7 linked regions of the Sus scrofa genome follow. The protein of the gene in region 3 purifies or fractionates together with the protein of the main gene of each other region. This does not show direct contact. Links are inferred from orthologs where the notes say so. Each region holds a gene or a part of one and is shown on either strand. Other genes may lie near its edges.

Evidence for each region.
Region 1: the proteins of MAP3K7 (region 3) and RIPK2 purify together in Homo sapiens (affinity purification with western blotting; 4 studies listed by BioGRID). This does not show direct contact. The link is inferred for Sus scrofa from reciprocal best matches to the Homo sapiens genes MAP3K7 and RIPK2.
Region 2: the proteins of MAP3K7 (region 3) and IKBKG purify together in Homo sapiens (affinity purification with western blotting; 8 studies listed by BioGRID and IntAct, with this or other methods). This does not show direct contact. The link is inferred for Sus scrofa from reciprocal best matches to the Homo sapiens genes MAP3K7 and IKBKG.
Region 4: the proteins of MAP3K7 (region 3) and CARD11 purify together in Homo sapiens (affinity purification with western blotting; 3 studies listed by BioGRID). This does not show direct contact. The link is inferred for Sus scrofa from reciprocal best matches to the Homo sapiens genes MAP3K7 and CARD11.
Region 5: the proteins of MAP3K7 (region 3) and XIAP purify together in Homo sapiens (affinity purification with western blotting; 3 studies listed by BioGRID). This does not show direct contact. The link is inferred for Sus scrofa from reciprocal best matches to the Homo sapiens genes MAP3K7 and XIAP.
Region 6: the proteins of MAP3K7 (region 3) and PELI3 purify together in Homo sapiens (affinity purification with western blotting; 3 studies listed by BioGRID and IntAct, with this or other methods). This does not show direct contact. The link is inferred for Sus scrofa from reciprocal best matches to the Homo sapiens genes MAP3K7 and PELI3.
Region 7: the proteins of MAP3K7 (region 3) and TGFBR1 purify together in Homo sapiens (affinity purification with western blotting; 3 studies listed by BioGRID). This does not show direct contact. The link is inferred for Sus scrofa from reciprocal best matches to the Homo sapiens genes MAP3K7 and TGFBR1.

What each region holds. Positions count from the first base shown.
Region 1 is NC_010446.5:47,040,634-47,044,133, reverse strand, and holds part of RIPK2 (receptor-interacting serine/threonine-protein kinase 2), read left to right. Parts: intron 1-1,540; coding exon 1,541-1,698; intron 1,699-2,371; coding exon 2,372-2,421; intron 2,422-3,488; coding exon 3,489-3,500.
Region 2 is NC_010461.5:125,043,733-125,047,679, forward strand, and holds the start of IKBKG (NF-kappa-B essential modulator), read left to right. Parts: upstream 1-1,147; coding exon 1,148-1,334; intron 1,335-3,784; coding exon 3,785-3,947. UniProt on the Homo sapiens protein: Regulatory subunit of the IKK core complex which phosphorylates inhibitors of NF-kappa-B thus leading to the dissociation of the inhibitor/NF-kappa-B complex and ultimately the degradation of the inhibitor.
Region 3 is NC_010443.5:58,520,176-58,523,675, forward strand, and holds part of MAP3K7 (mitogen-activated protein kinase kinase kinase 7), read right to left. Parts: intron 3,484-3,500; coding exon 3,355-3,483; intron 1,315-3,354; coding exon 1,184-1,314; intron 1-1,183. UniProt on the Homo sapiens protein: Serine/threonine kinase which acts as an essential component of the MAP kinase signal transduction pathway. Plays an important role in the cascades of cellular responses evoked by changes in the environment.
Region 4 is NC_010445.4:2,165,378-2,168,877, forward strand, and holds part of CARD11 (caspase recruitment domain-containing protein 11), read right to left. Parts: coding exon 3,477-3,500; intron 1,702-3,476; coding exon 1,525-1,701; intron 632-1,524; coding exon 580-631; intron 1-579. UniProt on the Homo sapiens protein: Adapter protein that plays a key role in adaptive immune response by transducing the activation of NF-kappa-B downstream of T-cell receptor (TCR) and B-cell receptor (BCR) engagement.
Region 5 is NC_010461.5:101,427,677-101,431,176, reverse strand, and holds part of XIAP (E3 ubiquitin-protein ligase XIAP), read right to left. Parts: intron 1,516-3,500; coding exon 1,315-1,515; intron 1-1,314.
Region 6 is NC_010444.4:5,950,052-5,953,419, forward strand, and holds the end of PELI3 (E3 ubiquitin-protein ligase pellino homolog 3), read right to left. Parts: coding exon 3,360-3,368; intron 3,049-3,359; coding exon 2,860-3,048; intron 1,518-2,859; coding exon 948-1,517; 3' UTR 501-947; downstream 1-500. UniProt on the Homo sapiens protein: E3 ubiquitin ligase catalyzing the covalent attachment of ubiquitin moieties onto substrate proteins. Involved in the TLR and IL-1 signaling pathways via interaction with the complex containing IRAK kinases and TRAF6.
Region 7 is NC_010443.5:240,905,086-240,908,585, reverse strand, and holds part of TGFBR1 (TGF-beta receptor type-1), read right to left. Parts: intron 3,386-3,500; coding exon 3,218-3,385; intron 1,011-3,217; coding exon 854-1,010; intron 1-853. UniProt on the Homo sapiens protein: Transmembrane serine/threonine kinase forming with the TGF-beta type II serine/threonine kinase receptor, TGFBR2, the non-promiscuous receptor for the TGF-beta cytokines TGFB1, TGFB2 and TGFB3.

The sequences.
Region 1 (3,500 bases), on a different chromosome or scaffold from region 3:
GAAACGAATCTGACTAGCATCCTTGAGGACGCAGGTTGGATCCCTGGCATCACTCAGTGGATTAAGGATCTGGCTTTGCCATGAGCTGTGATGTAGGTCACAGATGTGGCTCGGATCTGGCATTGCTCTGGCTGTGGCATAGGCCAGTGGCTACAGCTCTGGTTGGACCCCTAGCCTGGGAACCTCCATATGCTGCTGGTGGGCCCTAAAAAGCAAAAAAAAAAAAAAAAAAAAAAAATCAAGGCTCCAGAATCCATGTTCCAGAACACATACTGTATTGCCTTTAGAAGTTAGTCCAGTTTAGCTCTTCATGTATTGGCACAATGTTTCCTTTTCATCTTTTCTATTTTATTTTTCTTAGACCTACCCTTTTATTATGACAATGTATGAAAGATTCATATAGTCAACCCCTCCCCTTTTGGATTGAGGCCATAATTCTTTTTAATCTCAAATTCATCTGAACACTAGATAAATTATTTTATCTCTTAAAAGTAGTAAATATTTTAAGAGTTAAATGATTAAAACACAAATGGTGTCCTGATGGAGCTCAGTCCACCTTGTTGACTCCTAAATTGTGTAGTGGTCTAAATAATTTGAATTAAATGTCTAAATAATTTTAAATGTCTTCAGAGTTTTCCTACACTTTTTTCACTAAATATTGTTTCTGTTCTTACATTTGTGTGCCCCACTTTTTAAGGAACATTTTGTTAGATAGTTTAGAGAATTATAAGATATTGTGTAGTATCTGAACAAAATTTGCAAATGAAATAAAACTCTAAAGGACATGTCAAAAGTACAGAATGGTTGTCACTGATAGTTTTTTAGGCAATCCTTGTCATGAACATAAATATGCTTTATATGCTAATTATACTGTTGTCAACAGATATTCTTTTGTGGTAGGCATAAGTCATATAGGAATTTTATTTATTTCAAAATTTAAGGATACTATTTTTAGCAGATTATAAATAAGAACACATAAACCTGAATTGTAAATAGAACCCAGTGATAATATTAGATATGAATAGTTTAGCAGTTCTGTGAGATATGGATAAATTTTAAAAGCACATGACACAAAGCCGTTTGTCATAAAAAGCAGAGTATTCAGGAGTTCTCCTGGGGCTCAGTGGCTTAAGGATCCGGCATTGTCACTGCAGTGGTTCATGTCACTGCTGTGACTCAAGTTTAGTCCCTGGCCCAAGAATTTCTATATGCCACAGATGCAACCAAAAAAAGTAAAGTATTCAATATATATACTCATTCAGAATAAAAGGCAAAAAATACTCCTGTTTAATTTTTCAAAACTTAGTCTCTCTTTTTAAACCTGTGATATTATGCTAAACTCCAAATTGCTATTGCTTCTAGAGTTGTTGGATTCAGCACTATGGAATCCAGTTTGTTAAGAAACTGGTGAAATATATAGAAATAAAATATTAATATATATATAGCATTTACTGTGGCCTCAAATCCAAATATAAACAAATTCAGTCAATTCTTAGGTTTAAGAGAAAATTCATAAATCAATTATTCTTTTCCCTTACAGATTGCAGATTTTGGTTTATCAAAATGGCGTATGATGTCCCTCTCACAATCACGAAGTATTAAATCTGCTCCAGAAGGAGGGACAATTATCTATATGCCACCTGAAAACTATGAACCTGGACAAAAATCAAGGGCTACTGTCAAGCATGATATATATAGGTACAGTATATTACTTTTCCTCAGAGTTAATCTTGTCTACAAAATAAAAATTTTGAAGCTACATTTTAAAAGTATGATTTTTATGCTTGTCTAGTTTGATGAAAACAAATTAGAGATAGTGGTTAATATTTTTCAAATTAAAGATGCCTTGCTTTAAGCCACTTTTACATCCTTAAAAAATATTAAGGTATTTCTTATTGTTCTATTAATTTATAATATAATATCCAAGGATCTTTATCATATGACATTGATAAGGGGAGAGAAACAGTGTGATTAACACTTAACACTACCAAAGGAGATGGTACTTACCACCAAAAAAAAATCTGTAGAATAGGGCTACCTGGGAGAGTTTTTTATTACTCTTTGTGTGAATAATAGAATCATGTAATTAGAGGGCATAGCTTAATGTGTTCAAGAGTCACTCACAAGTTATCCTTGCCTATAACTTCAAGTTTTCATTACAATAACTTCCTAATTTTTCAAATTGAGTTAATTCCCCTTCAAAACAAAACTATATATGAACATTCATCATCTTAGTTCTATATAGTGATTCTTTAAGCAGCATTTCACTACCTGTCTCTACAGTCAGCTTTTAAATTCAGTACTATTTTAGTTTATTATGCTAGTTTATAATGTACTGTATATATATACATATGTATTTTATCTTAAACAGTTATGCAGTTATCACATGGGAAGTCTTATCCAGAAAACAGCCTTTTGAAGGTAAGTGTACTTTGGCTTCCTTTTTTCAGATGATATCATTTTGGCAAGTCTTACTCACTTGTTTTATTTATTTATTTATTTATTTATTTATTTATTTATTGTCTTTTTGCCATTTCTTGGGCTGCTGCCGCAGCATATGAAAGTTCCTAGGCTAGAGGTCTAATCAGAGCTGTAGCAGCTGGCCTACACCACAGCCACAGCAACGCCGGATCCTTAACCCACTGAGCAAGGCCAGGGATCGAACCCACAACCTCATGGTTCCTAGTCGGACTCGTTAACCACTGAGCCACAACAGGAACTCCCATACTCACTTGTTTTAAATCTCTCTACCATTCATTTTGTGGAAAACACTAGAAAAACATAATAATTTATCAATGTGACTCTATGATATATTGAAAGGTACAGAATTAAAGGTCAGAAAAATGTAGTTTCTTCTTGTTCTGATAGTTATTACCTCTATTAAGGCACTAAGTCTCTTGAGTCCTTATTTTTTTCATCTGCAAAATAAAATTTTGAGTTTTTATTTCTAAGATTCTTTCCAGCTATAAAATTCTTTATATGAATATTTAATTAGTTCTCCTTCTATAAAGACCAGCAAACATTGAAGAATAATTTTTAAATTTTCTGATAATACTGTCTCTTTCTTTTTTGAGGTTTATTTAGGTCATTTTGCTGTGTAACAACCCCAAAATCTCAATAGCTTACAAACTAAACGTTTATTTCTCATTCACATTAGATTTTAGTTGCTATGGCCCTTCTTGGTTCTGTTAAGTTCTACTCAGCTCTGCCAAGCTCTGTTATGCCCTGCTCTCTTCATACTCCATTGGCCAAATCAAATCACATTGCCAAGCCCAGAATTAAAGAGGTAAAGATATAAACTCTTTCCACAAGAGGCAGCCAAGTCTGGCAATAGCTGGGATATAAATATTCCTTTAACAGAAGGGGAGGTAATAAATTATTCCTAAGGTTTTAAGATTCCCTCACTTTCATTTGGTTGGCTTTAGAATATATTTAATATATTAGATCATAATGTATTTCTAATGAATGAAATATATTTGTTTTGACAGAAGTCACCAATC
Region 2 (3,947 bases), on a different chromosome or scaffold from region 3:
AAGCCCAGCTCCCGCTTTCGGGTGCTCAGCTCCAGGGAATGCCCACCAGGTTCTGAGTGGTCTCTGTGAAGCCCTTCTCACTAGGTACATTGATTTCCTAGGCTGCCGTGAGAGAGTCCAAGGCAGATGGCTTAAGACAACAGCATTTGTCCTCTCTCCGTTCTGGAAACCAGGAGCCTGAAGTCAGGGCGTGGCAGGGCCCTGTTCCCTCTGGGGGCGCCAGGGGAGGGTCCTTCCTGCCTCTTCCAGCCTGTGGTGGCTCCAGGCATCTCTGGGCTGGGGCCGCATCACTCCAGTCTCTGCATCTTCACGTGGCTTCTTCTGTGTCTGTCTCTCCTTTTGTGTCTCTTAGAAGGACACTCATCATTGGATTTAGGGCTCCCCTGATCCAGGAGGACCTCATTTCAGATCCTTCACTTGTATTACATCCTTTTCCTTCTTTCCTTTTCCCTTTCCCTTTTTTTTTTTTTTTTTTTTTTTTTTTTTTTGCTTTTTAGGGCTACACTTGAGGTATATGGAAGTTCCCAGGCTAGGGGTCTCATTGGAGCTGCAGCTGCCAGCCCACATGAGTGAGAGCCACAGTGACACGGGATCTGAGCTGCGTCTGTGACCTATACCACAGCTCACGGCAATACTGATCCTTAACCCGCTGTGTGAGGCCAGGGATCGAACCTGCATCCTTATGGATACTAGTTGGGTTCTTAACCAGCTGAGCCACAATGGGAACTCCAACAAATCCCCTTTCCCAATCAGTCCCGGTTCCGGGGCCCAGGGAGTGGACCCATCTTACTGCTTGGAGGTGTGGGGAGGGTGGGCATTCCAGCACAGCGACCCCTGCCTCCCAACCTCATCTCCGTCGATTCTCCTCTGTGGTGAAATCGGCAGCTTCAGCGTCCAGCCGGGAGCTAGCCTGAGGCGCCGTTTACGGCCGGTGCTGAACCGTGACCTTTGCGAGCCCCACATGAGGGGAATGTGAGCCACTCGTAGACCAAAGAGCCCTTTTTAGCGCCTTTTCCACTTGGCAAAGTGCTTGTCCTTCTGCCGAGCGTGGCCCTGGCACTCCCTGTCCTGCAGGGTAGGAGAGTTCTGCCTGGGTCTCCTCACGCGATGCCTCTGCTGGCATCTCTTTCAGACGCTGACTTGTTGGATGAGCAGGACCCCCTGGAAGAGTCAGCCGTGTGAGATGGTGCAGCCTAGCGGCGGCCCGGCAGGGGACCAGGACGTGCTGGGTGAAGAGTCCTCTCTGGGGAAGCCAACCATGCTCCACCTGCCTTCGGAGCAGGGTGCTCCTGAGACCTTCCAGCGCTGCCTGGAGGAGAATCAAGAGCTCCGAGGTGAGGGCGGCAGCGGGCCTGTGCCCCGAGATCCCGGGCCGGCGCCTCCCACCTGCCGCACCTCTGCCTTCCTGGGACTGGGGCGGCGTGCACCCGGGCGGGTTAGTGATTTGGTCCCAGCCGCCGCCCCCGCCCTGGTCCAGGTGGGGTTTCCGGGAAGTGGACGCCGAGATCCAGGGAGGCACGCAGGAGGTTTATTCAGAGTCCTCTGGGACCAGCCCTGCAGATGGGGAGGGGAGGGCAGGGCAGCGAAGAAGCAGGGGTGGGTGCAGGGAGAGGCCCACCCTGCAAGGGGCTTGAGCTGGAATATGGCCCTTCTGCGTTGTCCCGGTTGGGCCGACGCCGCCAGGCCCTGGTGTCTCCGTACTCATGTACTGACCAGTCAGTCAGAACCAGCCTTACTGGGAGGGGCGCGGGTCTCCTGGGAAGGGGGCGGGATCTGCTCCAGGAAGGGGGTGTGGTCTGCGCTGGGAACGGGCGTGGCCTCCCTGGGAAGGGCCGGGGGGCGGCTTTGGGAAGGAGGGGCCAGGCGGCGCCGGGGACCTGACGGAGGGCTGTGCTCCAGCAGCACTTGCCGGGGGCGGGGGGTCGAGGGCTTTTCGGCACCCCCCACCCCCCCGCCTCCGTCCCAGCCCCACTCACCCAGCCTCCGCGTCCTCCCCTGTATCGGGGTCACCTTCTCGGGTCCCAGGGGCCATGGCTCCGTGCCCCTCAGGTGTGACCCGTTCTTGGCCCCCTCGTGTGGGACAGCGCCCCCTCCTCCTCGGGTTTGTGCCCTGGGCCTCCGCTGCTGGCAAGCTGCCCCTTTGGTGCAGTAGCCTGGGGCATCCGGGGGGGGCACCCCTAGCCTCTCATTCAGTGACACTCTTGTGGGTGGGAGGTTTCTTTTGGGGGTGATGGGAATGCACTGGAACTAGAGGGAGGGGCGGGTGCACAACTATATGAATACATTAAAGCCACTGAATGACTGTGTATTTTTTTTGTCTTTTTTTAGGGCCTCATTGGGGGCATATGGAGGTTCCCAGGCTAGGGGTCAAATTGGAGCTGCAGCTGCCAGCCTACGTCACAGCCACAGCAATGCGGGATCTGAGCCTCATCTGTGACCTACACCACAGCTCATGGGCAACGCCGGATCCTTAACCCACTGACCAATGCCAGGGATCAAACCTGCGTCCTCATGGATGCTAGTCAGATTCTTTTCCGCTGAGCCACAACGGAAACTCCTGATTGTGTATTTTAAAATAGTTAAAATGGTGAATTTGCTGTTACGTGAATTTTACCTCAATTAAAAACAAAAGTTGTGGGTTTTCTTGTGGTGCAGCAGGTTAAGGATCCAGTGTTGCCACTGCAGTGGCTCAGGTCGCTGCTGTGGTGCAGGTTTGCTTCCTGGCCCAGGGACTTCACATGCCGTGAGTGCGGCCCAAAAAAAGATCTTTAAAAAAACCCCCAAAACAGAGGTTTTGTGGGAGCTGAGGTGAACCTCGGACGGAGGCTTGGCAGGTGGCCGTTGGGGGGGACCATCTGCCTTCGGCAAGAGGCCTTGTCCAAGGCTTGTTGGTCAGCTGCACAGGAGGAGTCATGTGGGGACCGTGGAGTCCAGAAGGTGGCTTTGGAGTGGGGCTCAGAATTTGCCGTAGGAGTTCCCTGGTGGCTCGGTGGGTTAAGGATCTGGTGTTGTCACTGCTGTGGCTCTGGTCGCTGCTGTGGCACGGGTTCAACCCCTGGCCTGGGAACTTCCACATGCTGCAAGTGCAGCCAAGAAAAGGAGGGGAGAGAAAATAACTTGCTGAAGTTCTAGTGAAAGAATGTTCCAGTAGCAGGCACCAGTTAGCTGGTCACGTGTTTTGACCAGAGGGTGACATGAAGCCACTGCCTGCCCCGTGTCATCTGGCTCTGTGCTTGCTAGAACCTCTGCGTGCCGCTGATGAGTTTTGTCGCTCACGATGGCCTTCTGCCGCCTGGGGTGTCCGCTGGGTGTGTGGGGAGAGGACGACCGACTGGTCCCCGAGTTGGTCTTGTGTGCCGGCTCTTGGCTGCTTGTTTGTGTGACCTTCCTTGTCCCGTGAGATGGGTGTCATCGTCCCCGTTGGGACATGTCGATGAGGATGGTGGGGCTTCGGTGACCGGCCGGCTGGCTCCAAGGCTTCCGGCCCCCAGTCTGCGGCAGCAGGGCCACAGGGACGTTTGCCCTGTGTGGCCGGCCCCCTGATCCTGGAGGCAGTGACCGGGTGCCCTAGGGTAGGCCTGCCTCCCACCCGAGCAGAACATAGACGAGTTCCAGCGTCACTTACAAAAAAGGTGGCATCGGACCCAGAGCTCTCAGTGCACCTGATGTGTTTAATGTTTGATTGGAAAAGCATGGGCACGTGATGGGCACCACTGCTTTTGAAAGTGCGCTGCCTGGGAGAGGCCGGCGCCCTCACCTCCCTCTGCGTCTCCTCTGCCGCCAGATGCCATCCGGCAGAGCAACCAGATGCTGCGGGAGCGCTGTGAGGAGCTGCAGCGTTTCCAGGGCAGCCAGCGGGAGGAGAAGGAGTTTCTCATGCAGAAGTTCTGCGAGGCCAGGCGCCTGGTCGAGAGGCTGAGCCTCGAGAAGCTGGAGCTGCGCAGGCA
Region 3 (3,500 bases):
TCACAGGGTAAATGTTGGAATCAATATTTTAAATATCAAAGATAGATTATGAATGTCTGTAAGAGATAAAATATTGGAAATATTTGCTGGATTAAAATGAGAATTTGGGGGGGGAATGGTGTTCTTCTCAAATTATACAAAGCACATATAGGCACAATTAAGATTTTAACAATTTATATAATCCAAAGTTTTAAGGTATCTGATTATGGAGACTGAGCTGCTTTCTTAGAAGTGTATCTTTAGGTCCTAGGATTCTAGACATAGCTAGTTTCCAATATTACGTTAAGCTTGAATCAGATTTGTTCAAGTGGTTTGCCTAAGTTATTTTCAATAGAATGACGTATTTAGAATAGAATTTCTATTTAGAATAGAATTTCAGTAGAATGAACTTTGGCCATTTAGGAAATCTCTTAATCTATATTTAAAGAGATTGAATGATTCTTCTACTTTGCAAGTTGTTCTGAAATTCAGACACTTTCATAAGGACATAAACTTTTTAAAGTCAAAGAACCTCTTGAGAAATTTTGTTAGTGTACCAAAAACCAGAGGCCTAAAAGTACTAAACAAAAAAGTGTTTGATTTAAAGACTAGAGAATTCTGATAATCATTTAAAACACTTCCTCTACCAAAATTCTATAGATCCTTTAAGAAAGTTTAACTTTTTAATGGCAAATGAAAAGCTGAAAATATGGAATGAAAAGTCGAAGGCTAAAAATCACTTTGGTGAATGCGTCTAGGAAGGCAGCCTCTCTACCTACTACATAAATGACTGCTTGAAAAGGATCTGTACTAAAGAAAATTTAAAATTTTGTTTAGCAAGTATTAGAGTGATAAAATACCTAAGTTCTACAGAGGCTTCAGAGATCACCTAATTCAACCTCTCTCACATTACAGATAAGGCAACAGGACTAGAAACAAACATATCTAAAAACTAAGTTAAGCAGGAAGAAAAAGAAGTCTAGAAGCCTAATCTAGCCACCTTTCCGTTATAAAGAACTAGATTTTTTTTTTCTCCAAAGTCACATTTCCTCTGACTATATTAGTCAGGAATACTCATTCTAATGTGGAAAATACAGAAAAGTATAAGCAAAAAAATGACAATAGCGCCCCTTTAAAATTGCATTAAAACTCAGTATATACAAAATTCGCTTAAACCCAAAGCCCCTCAAAAGAAGGATTATACCCGCATCAAGTGAGTCATTATTTTCACAATTTCCTCCATTGAAGGGCGCTGAGAAGGATCTTTAGACCAACAACGAGTCATCAGGCTCTCAATGGGCTTAGGTAAATTTTTGATCAGTGGTGGTCGAGTACCTATAATTGAAAATTAGAGGAGAGGAGAAAAGAATGTATATTTACCCAAAGAATGCTACAAGCTTTCTTTAAAAAATGTATTTCCAAAGCAATATTTATTTTACAGATCTTATGATTTAAGATTTTTTTAAAAGGAGGAATAAAAGTACATTTTTTCTGTCCTTTAGATTAACATTAAATTTTCATAAAGGGGAAGCTGCTCCTTTTGAAAAGCCAAATTGAAAGTTTTATATGCAGTACAACTTAGAGTTAATAATGTTTAATTTGTTATAGACGCTCTTTTAACAAAAAATAATGGCTTAATGTGCATCTTTTTTTTTTTTTTTTTTTGGTCTTTTTACCTTTTCTAGGGCTGCTTCCGTGGCATATGGAGGTTCCCAGGCTAGGGGTCTAAACGCTGTTGTTGTCAGCCTACACCACAGCTACAGCAACGTGGGATCCGAGCCACATCTGTGACCTACACTACAGCTCATGGCAATGCTGGATCCTTAACCTACTGAGCAAGGCCAGGGATCGAACCTGCAACCTCATGGTTCCTGGTCGGATTCGTTAACCACTGCGCCACAACGGGAACTCCAAGTGTGTGTCTTTTTAAGGTAAATAAAATGGTATTGGGATAATTATTTACTATATTTTCAGATTTATAAAAAATTTGAAAAGTGCTTGAAAAATCACCTTCCATATGTCAAAAATCATCAATTATGATGTCAAATTCACTGACCTCCAAATGGTTCCTTTGCGGGAGGCAGACCTCAGGACCACTGTGAATCAATCATTTCATTGGCTGAAAAATGCCAACTTTGGTGTAATTAACAAGGCTGTAATATCCTTAGTAAGGTCCCTAACGTAAAGAAGGCTTCAAATGCACAATGAAATCTTTATAAATTTACCAACTAACAAGTTATTTCTTCTATTCCTTGCTTCACTAACATTCAATTATTTACTGACGATTGACAGAAAAAGAAAACAAACTGTGTCCTGGGTCATGCTCTAGCATTCTCTATAATGACAAGAAAGGCAGTACAATGAAAGGTGGTACTGGAAACTGGTAAACACACTTGAGATAACTCACATGGCTGTTTGACATGTCTATGACTGACCAAAACGGTGAGGCTGATGTTTGTTTGTATCACATGTGGAATAGTGTGTTAAAATGCTATTAATCAGAATAACTGTAATCAAGTGACAGAAATTAAACAAGAGACTGATGTTGAAAGTTAGAAGAAAGTTAAGCAATTTTCCTTCATGAAGAGTTTATTCTCCCAAAGCAACTGGAAAGTAACTGGATTAATGATATATTCTAATATGAATGGTTAGTAACACTGTGAGAAATATAACCATTAAAGGTACAAAAGGAATAGGAGGGATGCAAAGACACTGTGTCCATATATCAGTTTAACTTTGGAATCAGCAAGATCCGGACTTACATCCCAACAATACCACCTGTGACCCTGGGCAAGTTACTTAACCACTCTAGGTCTCAGTTTTCTAATATGTAAACCTGCAAAATGAGGCAATAATAGTACTCGCTTCACAAGACAGATGAGAAGATTAAAAAAAAAAAGAAGGCAATGTGAAGCCCTCTGTGTTTGCTTTTAGAAGCACCTTAATTAACAACTCTTATTATTCGCTGCTTTCTCTCCTCAGTGAGACACCTGCTTCCTCAGGAGAAAAAGGCCGTACCTCCCCAACTATCTCAAAAATGTGAGATATTTTATTCATTTAATTTTTAAATTTTATTTTCTCCACAGAGTCTAGCCCAGTGCTCCCCTAGCCTCTAGAGAGAGCTGGTCTAGGTAGGTGGCTCCTGCTGTCTGCTGATGGTCTTTCCCTAATGAGCATAGCCAGCAGACCTTCTCAGCTTTGTACAAGAGCCACCGCTGCTCCCAGCCTTACCCAATTTTGGGGTGGGGGAGGGTTGGAGACCGGTAATAAGGAATCGTATATTTTAATATTAGGGATAAATGGTTTTCTTTGGGGGAGAAACAATTTTCAAACAGGAAATATACAAAATATATTGAAGAAAAATGTTTCACAAACCGTTATGAACAGCCCACATGATACGGAAAGCTGGGCCACCAATTTCATCAAAGGGTTTCCGACGTGTTATTACTTCCCAAAGGATAATACCCCAGCTGAAGACGTCACATTTTTCACTGTAATTGCTACCTAGAAAAAAAAGGTAG
Region 4 (3,500 bases), on a different chromosome or scaffold from region 3:
CAGCCGCTCTCTGGGAGTCTGAGCCATTTCCTCCTCCTTGCCGACGGCCCCGCCTGAGCACCTGGGCTGCGGAAGTGCCTACGTGGACCTGCCAGCACCTGGCACACCACAGGGGCTCCCTGCACCTGGGCAAACCCTCGCTAGCCAGCTGTCACTCCAGAGCTGTGCTGGGGATGAGGGAGGGGAATTCTGAGCACAGCGTGTCTTGGGAACCAGGGGCAGCTTGCAGGCTGGGGGCCGCCTGGCCAGCAGTCTGCGAGGTCAAGCTGCCCTCCGGCCGACAGGCCAGGAGCAGACATGCAAAGCTCAGCTGAGGGCTCGGGGGCCCTGGATGGACCCCTGGTGCCGGGGGTGGGGGGGTGTGTGGAAGGGAAACCTCAGATAGGACATTTGTGCAGGCAGACTCCTGCCCTCTCCGATGCCGTGTCCATCTGGACACCCCGCCAGCCACCCTGGGACCCCAGTGCCCCCAAGACCCATCCCGAGTTAACCTCACGGGATTGGTGCCCACGATGGCAGAGACAGAGGGACCCCGAGTCAGAGTGACAGCCTGGGGCGGGATCCAGACGTCTCACTAACCTGGAAAATCGGAGGCGCGCTTCAGGCTGATGGGGGACTTGGCTCTCTGCAGCTGGAGGTGGGGAGCAGAAGGAAGAGACAGAGGACACGATCAGACAAGGCCCGAGACGCGTGTCATCGGAGCTCGGGGAAGAAGGAAACTGAGTCGAGCCCACGCCGGCCCTTGCCACGTGGCTGCTGGAATCACAGAAGGCACAGGATGCCCGTCTCCACGCGGCTCCCCGGCCCCACGCGGGCAGCTGCTGGAATAAACAGCCCCCCAACCCCACCCTGAGGGAGGCTGTGCCATGTGGTCTGGATGGTACATGGAGCGGCAGGGGGGAACGGAGGGTGAAGCTGGGCAGAGCTGGGTATAGGACACAGGAGGATGGCAGGAAAGGAGGTGGCATCGCGGCAGGCTTTGCCGCGCCACGTGTGCGAGGGCGGGGGAGCAGAGGCGCTGCCCGGCCCCCTCGTAGGAGACCATTCCCGTCATTCCTTTGCTCACTCGTCCACTCGCTCACGCACACGTGTTCATCCCTCGGCCCAGGGGTGGCGCAGATACTGGGCACAGCGGACGGGTTTGCTGCTGTGAGTCCAGCGCCCGTCACAAGCCACTAACATCCATAAACGCGTGACAGGTACTCAATACCTATTTGTTCGATAAACGAATGAATTCGGAGGTAATGCCTCTTTCATTCTCTCTCCCTCTTGCTCTCCTTTTTTCCCTTCTACTGCAGGCACGAGAGATGAGGGCATGGATAAAAACAGCAAAGGAAAAAGCACAAGGGGGCACGAGTTCCGTTCACAGCACGAAAACAGGTGGAGAGGCATCTGGGCTCCGAGACCCACTGCGGAACCACGTGGGGGCCCCCCCGCTGCATCCTCGCCCACCCACCCCCATCTCACCGGCCCCACCTGCGACGGTCCCGCCGCCGCCGCCTGCCCTCCTCCCCCCGCAAGCACCTGGATGCCCTTGAGGTTCATCCTCCGCTTGGGCGGGTGGTAGGGCAGGAAGTATCGGCTGTCTTCCGGGGACTCCTCTGAGGTTGAAGAATCGTCAGCCTCCTGCCCGTTGGTCCTGGGGCTGCTGTCCCCGAAGTTCTGAGAGATGATGGTCACGGGCAGGTTTCTGGGCAGACTCTGGAGGCAAGGAGGGAGCCGGGTCAGTGATGGAGCCCGAGGAGCGGATGCCAGCCAGGGGAACGGCTCTGCCAATGTGCCATCATTCCCTCAGGCACCCAAGCCTGAAACTCAGGATGACCTGCTCCCCTTTCCCAACCCCCGCACCCAGCCCGATGCCAGGACCTATCATTCTAGCTCTGCTCTCCTCCCCACAAGCCCTGGTCCCCTCCCTCCTGCCAGGGGCTGGAGCAGCCCTAGTGCTTTTTGCAAGGGCAAAGGGACTGCCTCCTTGCTGGTTGCGGCCCCTCCTCTGATATGCCCCCACTGGATCCCTAATTTCTAGCCCTGCACTGAAGCTGCGAGTATAAAAATTGCTGCTGTGTAACACCAGTGCCAGGCACCGCCCTAAGGGACCCATGTCACGATCTGGGGCCGAGGCGCAGGGACCCTCTCAAAGCTGCACGACACCCTTCTGCTAAGTTGCCTCCAAACGCACAGCTTTGGGCCGTGCAAGAAGTACGATGCAAATCATCACAGTCCAAGAATAACTCAGACCAAGGTCCTTGGCTGACGGGCCACTGTGCTCCCTTCTGCTCCGCCCTCCAGCCACACCTCCCGCCTGTCCCCGCCACCCACTCTACAGATGGCAGAACCGCCAGGGGCGGCCCGTCCATGGCATGCCCTGTGTGTCACACCCCCGGACCTCGGCTTGTGCTGTCCCTGTGGCCTGGAACACCGGCCCCATCCCCCTGACCTAGCGGGGGCCTTGGTTCCCGGATTCGGCAGGCGTGCCCGGAGAGTCCACCCCGTGCCTGGCCCCGCGCCACGTGCTGGACAAACAGAGGCGCCTACAGGGAGCTTCTGCATCATCACACACCGTGGGACATGCCCACAGGGACAGCCTAACACAGAGGCTCCTGGTTTCCATTGTGGGGGTCGGGGAAAGCCTCGCGGAGGAAGTGACACTTCAGCCATGCCCAGGAGAAGTCAGAGGGGCAGCTTTCCAAGTGGGGATCTTGGCCTCTCCTGCAGGGAGGCTCTCTGGAACCCTGAGAGAATGGGGGCCCCCTGCCCTGGGCTCCCGCAGCCCCCCTGCACTCATAATTCACAATCTGGGTTGGATGCCGTGTCAGTCTGCCTCCATCGCTGGCTCTGAGTCCTCGGCGGGGGGCGGGGGCGGGGGCGGGGGGTGTTGTCCCAGCTCCTCCAGGCCACGGTCTCGTGATGCCCTCAGGCAGGTGGCTTAGCTATTTGTATTCCGATTCCACCCTTGGCCACGGGAGACCGTGATCTCACCATCCCGGCAGGTCAGTTCCGTGGCCTAAACGAGACCCTGGCACAGCACCTGCATGAGACGGCGCCCAAACCCACAGCTGCAGGAGTAGCAGCATCTGTTCTGATGGCAGGAACATTCACGTCTGGATGCCTGGGACCCTGCTGTGACATGTGCCCTGAACTTTCTATCACCCGTAAACGGCAGTTTCCTTACGGGCCCTGGTGACTTTAATGGGAGCAGGGCATCTTAAACCCAGCGACCGTCCCGATGGGTTTAAGGAAACCCAGGGGCAAGGCTGAGGGCTGGCAGAGGGCAGCCGAGCACGAGCTGCAGTCCTAACGTGGACGTGGCTTGCCTGAGCCCACCCGGCCAGGGGTGGCCAGGCCAGGGTTTTGCTGCATCTTCCAGCTACAAAACGAGCGGCTTCTGCTCATCGCTACCCAGACGCAGGACGGTCCCGGGCCCCGGTGGGGAAGGGCACGGGTCTGCAGGGCGGGCGCAGGCCCGGCCAGCCCACCTGGTCCAGGCTGCTGCTGTCCTT
Region 5 (3,500 bases), on a different chromosome or scaffold from region 3:
TGTAAAAACTTTATTTTGTTTTTTTGGCCACCCTGTGACACATGGAGTTCCTGGGCCAGGGGTCAGATCTGAGTCGCAATTGCAACCTACTCTGCAGCTATGGCAACACGAGATCCTTTAATCCACTGTGCCAGGGACCAAACCTATGTCCCAGCACTCCAGAGATGCTGCCAATCCTGCTGCATCACAGTGGGAACTCCTGTAAAAACCTTTTAAGACAATGAGGAAAATTAAAACCAACTGAATTTCAGGGAGTTCCCACTGTGGCTCAGTGGATTAAGAACTCAACTAGTAACCATGAGGACACGGGTTTGATTCCTGGCCTTGCTCAGTGGGTTAAGGATCTGATGTTGCTGCAAGCTGCAGTGCAGGTCACATATGCAGCTCAGATCTGGTATTGCCATGGCTGTGGCTGTGCCTACAGTGTAGGCTGGCAGCTGCAGCTCTGATTCAACTCCTAGCCTGGGAAGTTTCACAGGCTGCAGGTACAGCCTTAAAAAGAAAAAAGAAAAAGAAAACCAACTGAATTTCAGATGAAATTATGTTAAGTGTATTTGATAATTGTATGCTATGGGCTAAATGTCTAGTTATCTCCCCAAAATTCATGTGCTGAAGCCATAATCCCCAATGTAATGGTACTTGGAGGTGGGGCCTTTGGGAGAAAATTAGGTTTAGATGAGGTCACAAGGATGGGACTCCATGATGGGATCAATGTCTTTATAAGAAGAAGATGAGAAAGCAGAGTGCTCTCTCTTGGCCATGTGAAGACATAGAGAAGGCAGCCCTCTGCAAGCCTGGAAGAGTCCTCCTTACCAGGAACCAAATCTGCCTACACCTTGATCTTGTATTTCCCAGCCTCCAGAACTATGAGAAACAAATGTTGTTTAAGTCACTTAGTCCACGGTACTGTTCGAACAGTCTGAGCAAGCTAACACACATTATCAAGGTTATCTTAAAAAAAGTCCTTACCTGTTAGATATTTACTCAAGTATTTATAGGTAAATGATACATAGAATGTCTGGGATGTACTTTGAAATACTACAACAAAAAAAAGTTGGGGAAAGAAATGAAGCAAGATTGGAAAAGTGTTGATAGTTACTGAAGCTGGTTGATGGGTATGTGAAGGTTCATTATCCTGTTCTCTCCACTTTTGAGTATGTTTGACATTTTCCATAATAAAAAGTTTTAAAAAAATGTTTATCCTAATGGGAATATGAGAGGAGAGAAATGAATGGGCCACAAAGTCATATAAGATACTACCCATAATGAAGTGATGTTAGGTGTTTCTTGTTTTTTGAAACCAGGCATACATACCTTTCTGTAATGAAGTCTGACTTGATTCATCTTGTGCATTGTCTTTCTGAGCACTCACTAAATCTGCAACCAGAACCTCAAGTGATTTATAGTTGCTTCCAGATGTCTCAATCTTTTCCTCCATTATTTTCTTAATGTCCTTGAAACTGAATCCCATTCGTATAGCTTCTTGTACCATAGGATTCTGGAATATGGTATCATCTGAAACGAGAATTGGTGATGAAAATAATCATAGTTTATTTTCATCAACACAACTTAAGAGCAAAGTATAGTTAAAAGAAAAATTTAAGCAGCAAGCAAAAAAAATCAAAACCAAAGCAGCAAACCAAAGCTGCATAGGAAAGAGGATTTTGAAATAGTGAGGCACTGAAGAATCACTTTCAGAATCTTATAATAGAAATGCAGTGAGGGAGTTCCCTGGTGCTCAGCAGGTTAAAGATCCAGCATTGTCACTGCTGTGGCTTGTTGCGGGGGGTGGGATTACTGCTGTGGTGTGGGTTCAGTCCTTGGCCTGGGAACTTCCACATGCCATGGGTGAGGCCAAAAAAAATACAAGTAGGTATTTTGTAGAACTATGAATTGAGATTAGGTGCTTTAAAGACTATGATGAGGGAGTTCCCGTTGTGGCTCAATGGAAACAAACCCGACTAATATCCATGAGGATGTGGGTTCGATCCCTGGCCCTGCTCAGTGGGGTCAAGGATCCAGTGCTGCCACAAGCTGTGGTATAGGTCACAGATGTGGCTTGGCTCTGGCATTGCTGCGGCATAGGCCGGCAGCTGCAACTCTGGTAAAACAGATAAGAAAAGGGTTAAGAGCATCAAAAATTTGAACATCTTTCAAATCAGCTGTACCCATTAACAACTAACATAAAGTACTTAAAAGGGTGGATGTCTTTACTGAGTCACCAGCAATTATTCTGAAAAAAATCAAGAGAAATAGAGAGATGTCCCAGTCTGTGATCTTGAATGTATCAGTTTCCTATCCTCAGACTAAGTTTCTGCAGCTGAGGGGGGTGGACTAGCTAAGGCAGGAAAGCAAATAGAAACTCACTTTAATAATACTCAAAGAAGGAATACACATTGTGATGTGCTAAAGAGGAGAATTCTATCCTTTGACTCATCAATTCCACTCTTGGGAATTAAAAATGAGAACATATGTCCACCAAAGACATACACAAGAATATTCATAGCAACATTATTTATAAAGCCCCAAACTGTAAATAATTCAAATATCTATCATCAGGTGAATGGATAAATTATGGTATATTCAAATACTACACAGCAAGAGAATGAACTACTGCCAGACAACATGGATCAATCTCATAGATATGATAAGCAAATCATCATCATAATGATGAACCAGAGGAAAAAAGGAGTATATACTGTATGATTACATTTTTAAGATGTTCAAATCTAATCTATGGTAATAGTAGAATATAATTTGGGGGTGGATATTTATTGGGAAGAGGGCCTGAAGGCACTTTCTGGGGTGGTGGAAATGCTCTATATCTTGATCTGGATAATGGACACACACACACACGTTAAAATTCACTGAGTTGAACACTTATGATTAGTGCACTTTGAGCATTTTATGTATATTATACCTCAATAACGGTTTTTAAAAGTGGAAGCTGGAAAGGGAGATATATAGGGATTTGATTATGAAGAATATTATATGGTAGGAAACTAACTTAAGACTTGTGGGTTTTTTGTTATTGTTTTTGCTTGTTTGTTTTTTGGCCACATCTGTGGCACATGGAAGTTCCCAGGCCAGGGATCAAACTCACCACAGCAGTGACCCAGCCATTGCAGTGACAACACTGGATCTTTAGCCCACTTCGCCACAGGAGAACTCTTAAGATTTATGTTTGATAAAGAAAAATTCTGGAGTTCCCGTCGTGGCGCAGTGGTTAACGAATCCGACTAGGAACCATGAGGTTGCGGGTTCGATCCCTGCGCTTGCTCAGTGGGTTAATGATCCGGCGTTGCCGTGAGCTGTGGTGTAGGTTGCAGACGCGGCTCGGATCCCACGTTGCTGTGGCTCCGGTGTAGGCTGGCAGCTACAGCTCCGATTGGACCCCTGGCCTGGGAACCTCCATATGCCGCAGGAGCGGCCCAAAGAAATATCAAAAAGACAAAAAAAAAAAAAAAAAAAAAAAAAAAAAAAAAAAAAAGAAAAATTCT
Region 6 (3,368 bases), on a different chromosome or scaffold from region 3:
CCAGCACGGCCCCAACCTCCAGGCCCCTTTCTGCCCCGCTGCAGTCCATGCTGCAGCCACTCTGAACCCCTCACTCAGTTCCCTGCACACTTACACCTGAGCCTGTGCCCCGCCTCCCTTCTGTCTGGGGCCCCCTCCCTCCCCTCCTGTAAGGATCCCCAGCCAGCCACTGGGGCTGAGCCCGGATGCACCTCCTCAGTGAATCTCTCTCACTCCTCGCTTTCCTACCCGCCAGTGAGACCGGCTTCACAGCTCCCGATACTTCTCGGATCCTAGCACACAGGAAGCCAGGCTGTCATTCAGTAATTTGGGCTGGCATCCACTAGCCTGCGAACTCCACCGGGCAGGGAACCAGGTCTGACTGTCTCTGTGTCCCCAGATCCCATTTGGCAAGCAGTCCAGACCGCCGTGGGGGCTCAGCGGATGTCAGTCCCCGCCTGCCGCCCACCCGTCACTCACTCGGGGGCGGGAGGCGATGCACGCACGTGGGACGCGCGGGATTTGGGAGGGCAGCTGAGCGGCAAGGTTTATAGAGGAACCCAGAGCAGCAGCAGGGCGATGATCTGGAGCTGGGTTGGCAGGCTCAGGGCACAGCCAGCCTAAGCTGGGGGTCAGGGGCTCCCGGCCCCTTCACTCCCCCAGGGGCACAGTGTAGGCGGCATGATGTGGGATGCCCCAGGACGGGCTGGGGCACAGGGGTGGGCTCCCCTCCATCGGCCGAGTGAGAGCTGGTGCCGATGGCCCCATTATTCTGACTGGGGATAGGAGTCGCGGGGACCCCCTTCGGAGTCAGAGTTAAGAGAGGAAGGGCACAGCCCATCCAACGCGTCCATCCGGCTGGCTATGTGCCAGCAGGTAGAGTCCCACATGCAGAGCTCCCTCTGGGCTGCAGGAGGTGGGGGACCTGGGTGGGCAGGCGGGCGCAGCAGCAGGAGGCCCCAGGGAGCCTAGTCCAGCGGCCCCTGGAAAATGAGGCGGACACAGCCATGCTCGCCAGTGAGCCAGGCCCCGCAAAAGGGGCAGGCGGCATGGAAGGCGTGGGTGCCATGGGGCAGCGGCGTCTGAGCCCAGTAGCGGGCAGTCTTCTCGGAGCAGACGTGGCCGCAGGGCGCAAAGGCGTGACTGGGCGGCCCAGGGTCCAGGCAGAGGCCAGCCTCCTGGCCGAGCCACAGGGGCACATAGGGCCCCACGAGGCGGCAGAGAGGACACTCGCGCTCCTGGGGACCCCGTTCTCGCCGGCAGCCCCAGCCATGGTAGCCGTGGACGTGGCCGCAGCGGACGTAGACCCAGGGCTGCTGCTTGTCGGGTGCAGTGCGGCCACGGGCCGGGCTGGGGAAAGCCAGGGTGCTGAGGCCCACGGGACACTGGGGCCGAGCCGCGTTTGCTTCCTGCCGCTGGGCCTCCAGCTGCTTCAGCGTGGGTGCCCGCAGCAGCCCCGCCGGCGTGCGCCACAGCAGCGTGGCCCCACACAGGTCGATGAGGGAGCCGTCCTGCAGCACGTTGGACTCATTTTCCACCTGCAGGGGCAGCGGAAGGGCCTTAGTGCCCAAGAGGCTCCTGAAACCCCTGCTATCGGCCACCATCACCCCAGACAAGCCCCCCCCCCCACATCCATCCCACTGAACCTCCCTGGAGGGAGCACCCAGAACCAGTGGTGCTGGCTCAGGCAGAGGAGGGGTAGGGCTGGGGCAGAGGAGGCAGTAGGGCTGGGACAGAGGAGAGGGGAGGCCTGGGGCAGAGAAGCAGGAAAGACTGAGAAGCCATGGGAAGGTAGGCAAGTCGTCCCAGGCAGGCACCATTGCTTACTCTCCGTGGAACGTGGGCCTTGGTCACCTCATCTGTCAAATCAGAAGGTCTAGACCAAAATGAGGGTTTTCTAAAACATTTTCCCAGGCTCTCCCCTAATGGAAGAGGCCAGAAAGTCCTCTGTCCAAAACACTGGGGACTTAGCTCAAAGCAGCTGTCCTAAGGGCTGTGGTTAAAAGCAAGGACTCCGGCACTAGATTGTCTGGCTGAAAGTTCCAGCCTCACCATCGTTTCCTAACTCTGTGTCCCTGGGGGAGTAACTCATCCTCTCTGTGTCTTAACTTCTTATCCTCAAGACGGATTCTGCTTCCCTGTCTAGCAAGTGGTTCTCATGAATCCATCAATGTAAACACACAGAACAGTACCTGGAACACAGTAGGTGCTCAATAAGTGTGTACTAGTGAAACAGTCACAGGCATAACTTGAAAAAATAATGTTTCCTCAGATCTCCCCATAGAGTCGATGCTCTGGAAACAAAAGCCATGCTTTTCCTTGGGGTCTGGCATTTCCTTGCCCAACTTGCTCATACAGAGAAAAAACTCTGCGTGGGCCATTTGAGGCGCTTGGCCCCGCGAACCTCACATTAATTCTCTGATCTGTACCATGTGGTACGTTCACTGTCACCTGTGTCAGAGCTTCTCAAGGCCCTTTCCTGCTGGGAGAGAATAAAGCTAAGCCCGTGTGAATGTGACAGACACATTACAAACTGCCAACACTTTAGGCTATAAATTGCTCACACACAGGCCAAGTGTCACCCTCGTAAGAGGGTGTGAATTTTTAAGCGGCTGACACCCCACCGCCACTTGGTCTTGCGCGGTGTGTCTGTGTGCGCCACTTCCCACCCCCCCACGGACCTCTGGCAGTATGTGGGCTCTACTTGCAGATGCTGGTCTGGTCCCCTCTATGGGGACAAGAGGCAACGCCCCCACACGGAGACTGTTGGGGCTCCCTTGTGCAGCAGGACGAGGCCATCGCCCAGCTCGGGCAGGGGGGAAGGGCAGATTGGAAGGGCAGGGAAGGAACGGGGAGGGGGTCAGTGAACAGGCCACCTACCAGTTTCCCCCGCTGCTGTGCCGAGCGGCTGTCCCTCAGAGTGTACACATTCCCACAGACCGAGATCTCCCGCCAGACACCTGGGGCTGAGTCCTCAGAGAAGCCGCCGGCTGGGTGCATCACCAGCACCCCGTTGGTGGTTAAGCCGTCCATCAGGCCGTCGGGGGTCCGCCATTTGGCTGCCCGCTCCTAGGACCACATGTGGGATCAGGTCACATCCCCAAGCGGCCCCCAGCAGGCCAGGAGTGCTGCCCTCTACCCTCAAGCCCAGAGGTGGCCCGGAAAGGACCGGGACTGAACTGGTGCTGCGAGGCCTTGGGCGTCACTTGACCCCTCTGAGCCTGGCTTTGCTCGGTTGTTAAGTGGGGTTGCAAATCCCTGCTTAGGTCATGGCTAGGAGTCAGGCGGGTCCCTCCCCCCAGGATGCCGCCCCTCCTCAGCCTACCCCTCGGCTCCCTCTCAGATGAAGTGCCCGTCCCTCCTTGGGGGGGCTCACTCACTCCAAGGAA
Region 7 (3,500 bases), about 180 Mb from region 3:
ATGTGGCAAATGCTGTGATACACAGAGTAAATCCTTTTGGGTCAGAAAGGCCCAGGTTCAACTCTCAGTTTTGCAGCTTACCATCCATGAGGGTGGCCCCATTACTTAACCTCCATGAGATGGTTTCCTCATCTGTGAATTGAGGGTAGTGACACCTGCCTACCTATGTTCTTTGAGTACTCATAGATTCAACAAATATTTACTGAAGACCTACAATGTATTAGGCACTGTGATGGATGCTGGGAATACAAGACTGCTCTCAAGCAGCTTATGGTCCAATTGGATATTCAGACGAATAAATGGACAGCTGTAATGTGCCAAGTGCCTCAATAGTCCAAGTTCAGCATATTATGAGAGTCCTTGGCAAGGACAACCTAACAGTCCAGAAAAGGATTCCTATGAGAAAGGAAGATTAAGTACAAGTTAGAGAAACAGGAGGAGAAAGTCTGCTCTAGGATACAGCACATGTTAAAGTTAAAAGAGAGAAAGACACGTTTTCAGGAAATAAAAATGTGAATACAGTTTGACTACAGTACAGTATTTGAGGAAAGCATTAAATGAGATTATATAAAAAACCCATTACAATGATTGGTACAGAGCAGGTACCCTATAAATATTAGCTATTATATGATAACAGAACTAGTGGTAATACTTTCTGCAAGGGCACCATTCATCAGCAGGTACCATTTTAAGTCAGGTAACTTTGCCTTCAGAGCAGGCAAGACCATGAGATGTAGTTCTACCTGTGGGCAATCTAATGAAGTACAAGGCTGAGTTTCAGAAAGATAAGTATATAGGAATAAGAAGGAAAAGAAGTTGATTTAAGAACATTACAGTGTATCCATAAGTGTACCTTTTTGTTCCCACTCTGTGGTTTGGAGCAATATCAATTGTATCTGTGGCTGAATCATGTCTTACTGCCAGTCCTAAGTCTGCAATACAGCAAGTTCCATTCTTTTTTACCAAGATATTCTTTGATTTCAAATCTCTATGAGCAATAGCTGGTTTTCCTAATGAAGAAGAAAAAAAATCAGACATGGTTGCATAAAGGGTAATACCAATCACAAATCTCAACTTGGGTCCAAAAGCCTCTCCTCCAAACTCACTATCAACGCATTTTGGCCTCCATCACTCACAATAACTGAGCCATTACTAAACAACCTAAAGTGAATCATTACACAAAAAGTTGCTGAAGTTAATTCCTTTAAAGAAAGCAGAGAAAATAAGATGCTCTAAAATATGATGCTCAAAAAATGGAACTCTAACACTTAAAGACGGGGGGGGGGTTAAAGATATTAATTTGTTTGTTGACACCCTCTGAATTTTTTAGAGGAACCCTAGTAACTGATTTTCAAATCCAACAACCAAGAATCTAGATCACTTCCTTTGCCAATCAACTAGAATGTACCTTTAATACTAGCCTCTAGGAGTGCTATTAAAATATAATTATAATGTGGAAAATCTGGAACCCTCATATGCTGCTGGTGGGATTTAAAAGGGTACAGGCACCTTTGGAAAAAAAGTTTGGCAGAGTTACTATCTGATTCAGTAATTCCACTCCCAGGTGTATGTCCAAGAGAAATGAAAACATATATCCACACAAAAACTTATACACCAAAGTTCATAGCAATATTATTCACAATAGCTCAAAGTGGAAAAATAATCCAAATGCCCATCAACTGATGAATGGACACCCAAAATGTGGTATATCCATAAAAAATGGTACTGATAAATGCCACAACATGGATGAACCCTGAAAATATATACCAAGAGAAAGAAGCAAGTCACAAAAGACAACTTAGTGTATGATTCCACTTATATGAAATGTCCAGAATAAGCAAATCTATAGAGATGGAAAGTAGATTTAAAGGTTGCCTCAAGCTAAAGAAATGGGGAGAAATAGAGTTCTTTTTGAGGCAATGAAAATGTTTTAAAATTGACTGTAGTGATAGCTGCACAACTCTGTGAATATACTAAAAACCATTGAATTATACAGTAAATGGGTAAATTGTATGGTATGTGAATTATAACTCAAAAATAAAAAATCAACAATAAAAATTACAAAGACAGGGCTGGCTGAAATAGTAAAACAGCATACGTGATGTGTGTAGTAATGTAGGGGGTGGGAGCCATCAATAGCAAGTGGATGATCATTAAAGCAGAAAATGTAACTGGTATCTGATATTATGGCACAAACATAGCATAAAAATTTTATAACCAAAACTTAGTATTCAATTTTTCAACTACAAAACTGTCCCATGCAGTCTTCTTATCATAAGGTCAAATATAATTACTAGGTGGTCAGATAAAATTTCTAGCATGTTGATGTTTACCGAGCATTTTCATATTTCATTTAATACTACATATAAATTGAATTCCAAAATCAAGATCCTCAGACACAAACATTATATGCTATTACTTGTATGTGGAATCCAAAAAGAGGATACAATGAACTTACTTGCAGAAGGGAAACAGATTCACAGACTTCGAAATATTTATGGTTACAGGGGACAGGCTGCAGGGGGAGTGGGGAGAATGGACTGGGGATTGGGGATGGAAATGTTCTAAAATTAGGTTGTAATTGATGGTTGTACAATTAAGAATAAAATTCATTGAATTAAATCAAGATCCTCAAAAATCATAAGCAAGACTATACAATCTTAAGACACAAAAATATCAGTGTTGTTACAATACCTAAAGAATCTCTCAACAAAATCCCAGATTCCTAACTTTTTTTTTTTTGTCTTTTGTCTTTTTTGAGGGCCACACCCACAGCATATGGAGGTTCCCAGGCTAGGGGTCTAATCGGAGCTGTAGCTGCCAGCCTATGCCACAGCTCATAGCAACACCAGATCCTTAACCCACTGAGCGAGGCCAGGAACCTCACAACCTCACGGTTCCTAGTCGGATTCGTTTCCTCTGTGCCACGATGGGAACTCCTAGATTCCTAACTCTTAAGATTTAACAGAAAGACTATTCTCCAAGTCCATGATTTTCTTTTCTGTGGAAAGGTTCATTTGTGCTGTATATTAGATTGCAGATATAAGTGATATTATGTGATATTTGTCTTTCTCTTTCTGACTTACTTCACTCAGTATTCTCATCTAAAAACTCAGTTTAAACATCTCCCATTAGACTGACTTCTTGCAAAACTTTTCCAAGTGGACATCAGATCCAAGGACATTTAAAGCTTAATAACAAGACTGCTTTGACTTACCTTGGGTACCAACTATCTCCATGTGAAGATGGGCAAGTCCACTTGCTGTGGACAGAGCAAGTTTTATCATTCCTTCCACAGTAACTGTGTATCTATTCAAGTAATCAAAAAGGGATCCATGTTCATGATAATCTGACACCAACCAAAGCTGAGTCCATGTACCATTATCTGTAAGTAGAATAACAATACTTCAGATGGGTTTAGAACATTTATGATGTATTAAAAGTTCTCACTTTCCCTCTCAATCCTGAACCACACGACTGCAGTATGTTGGTACCTTAAA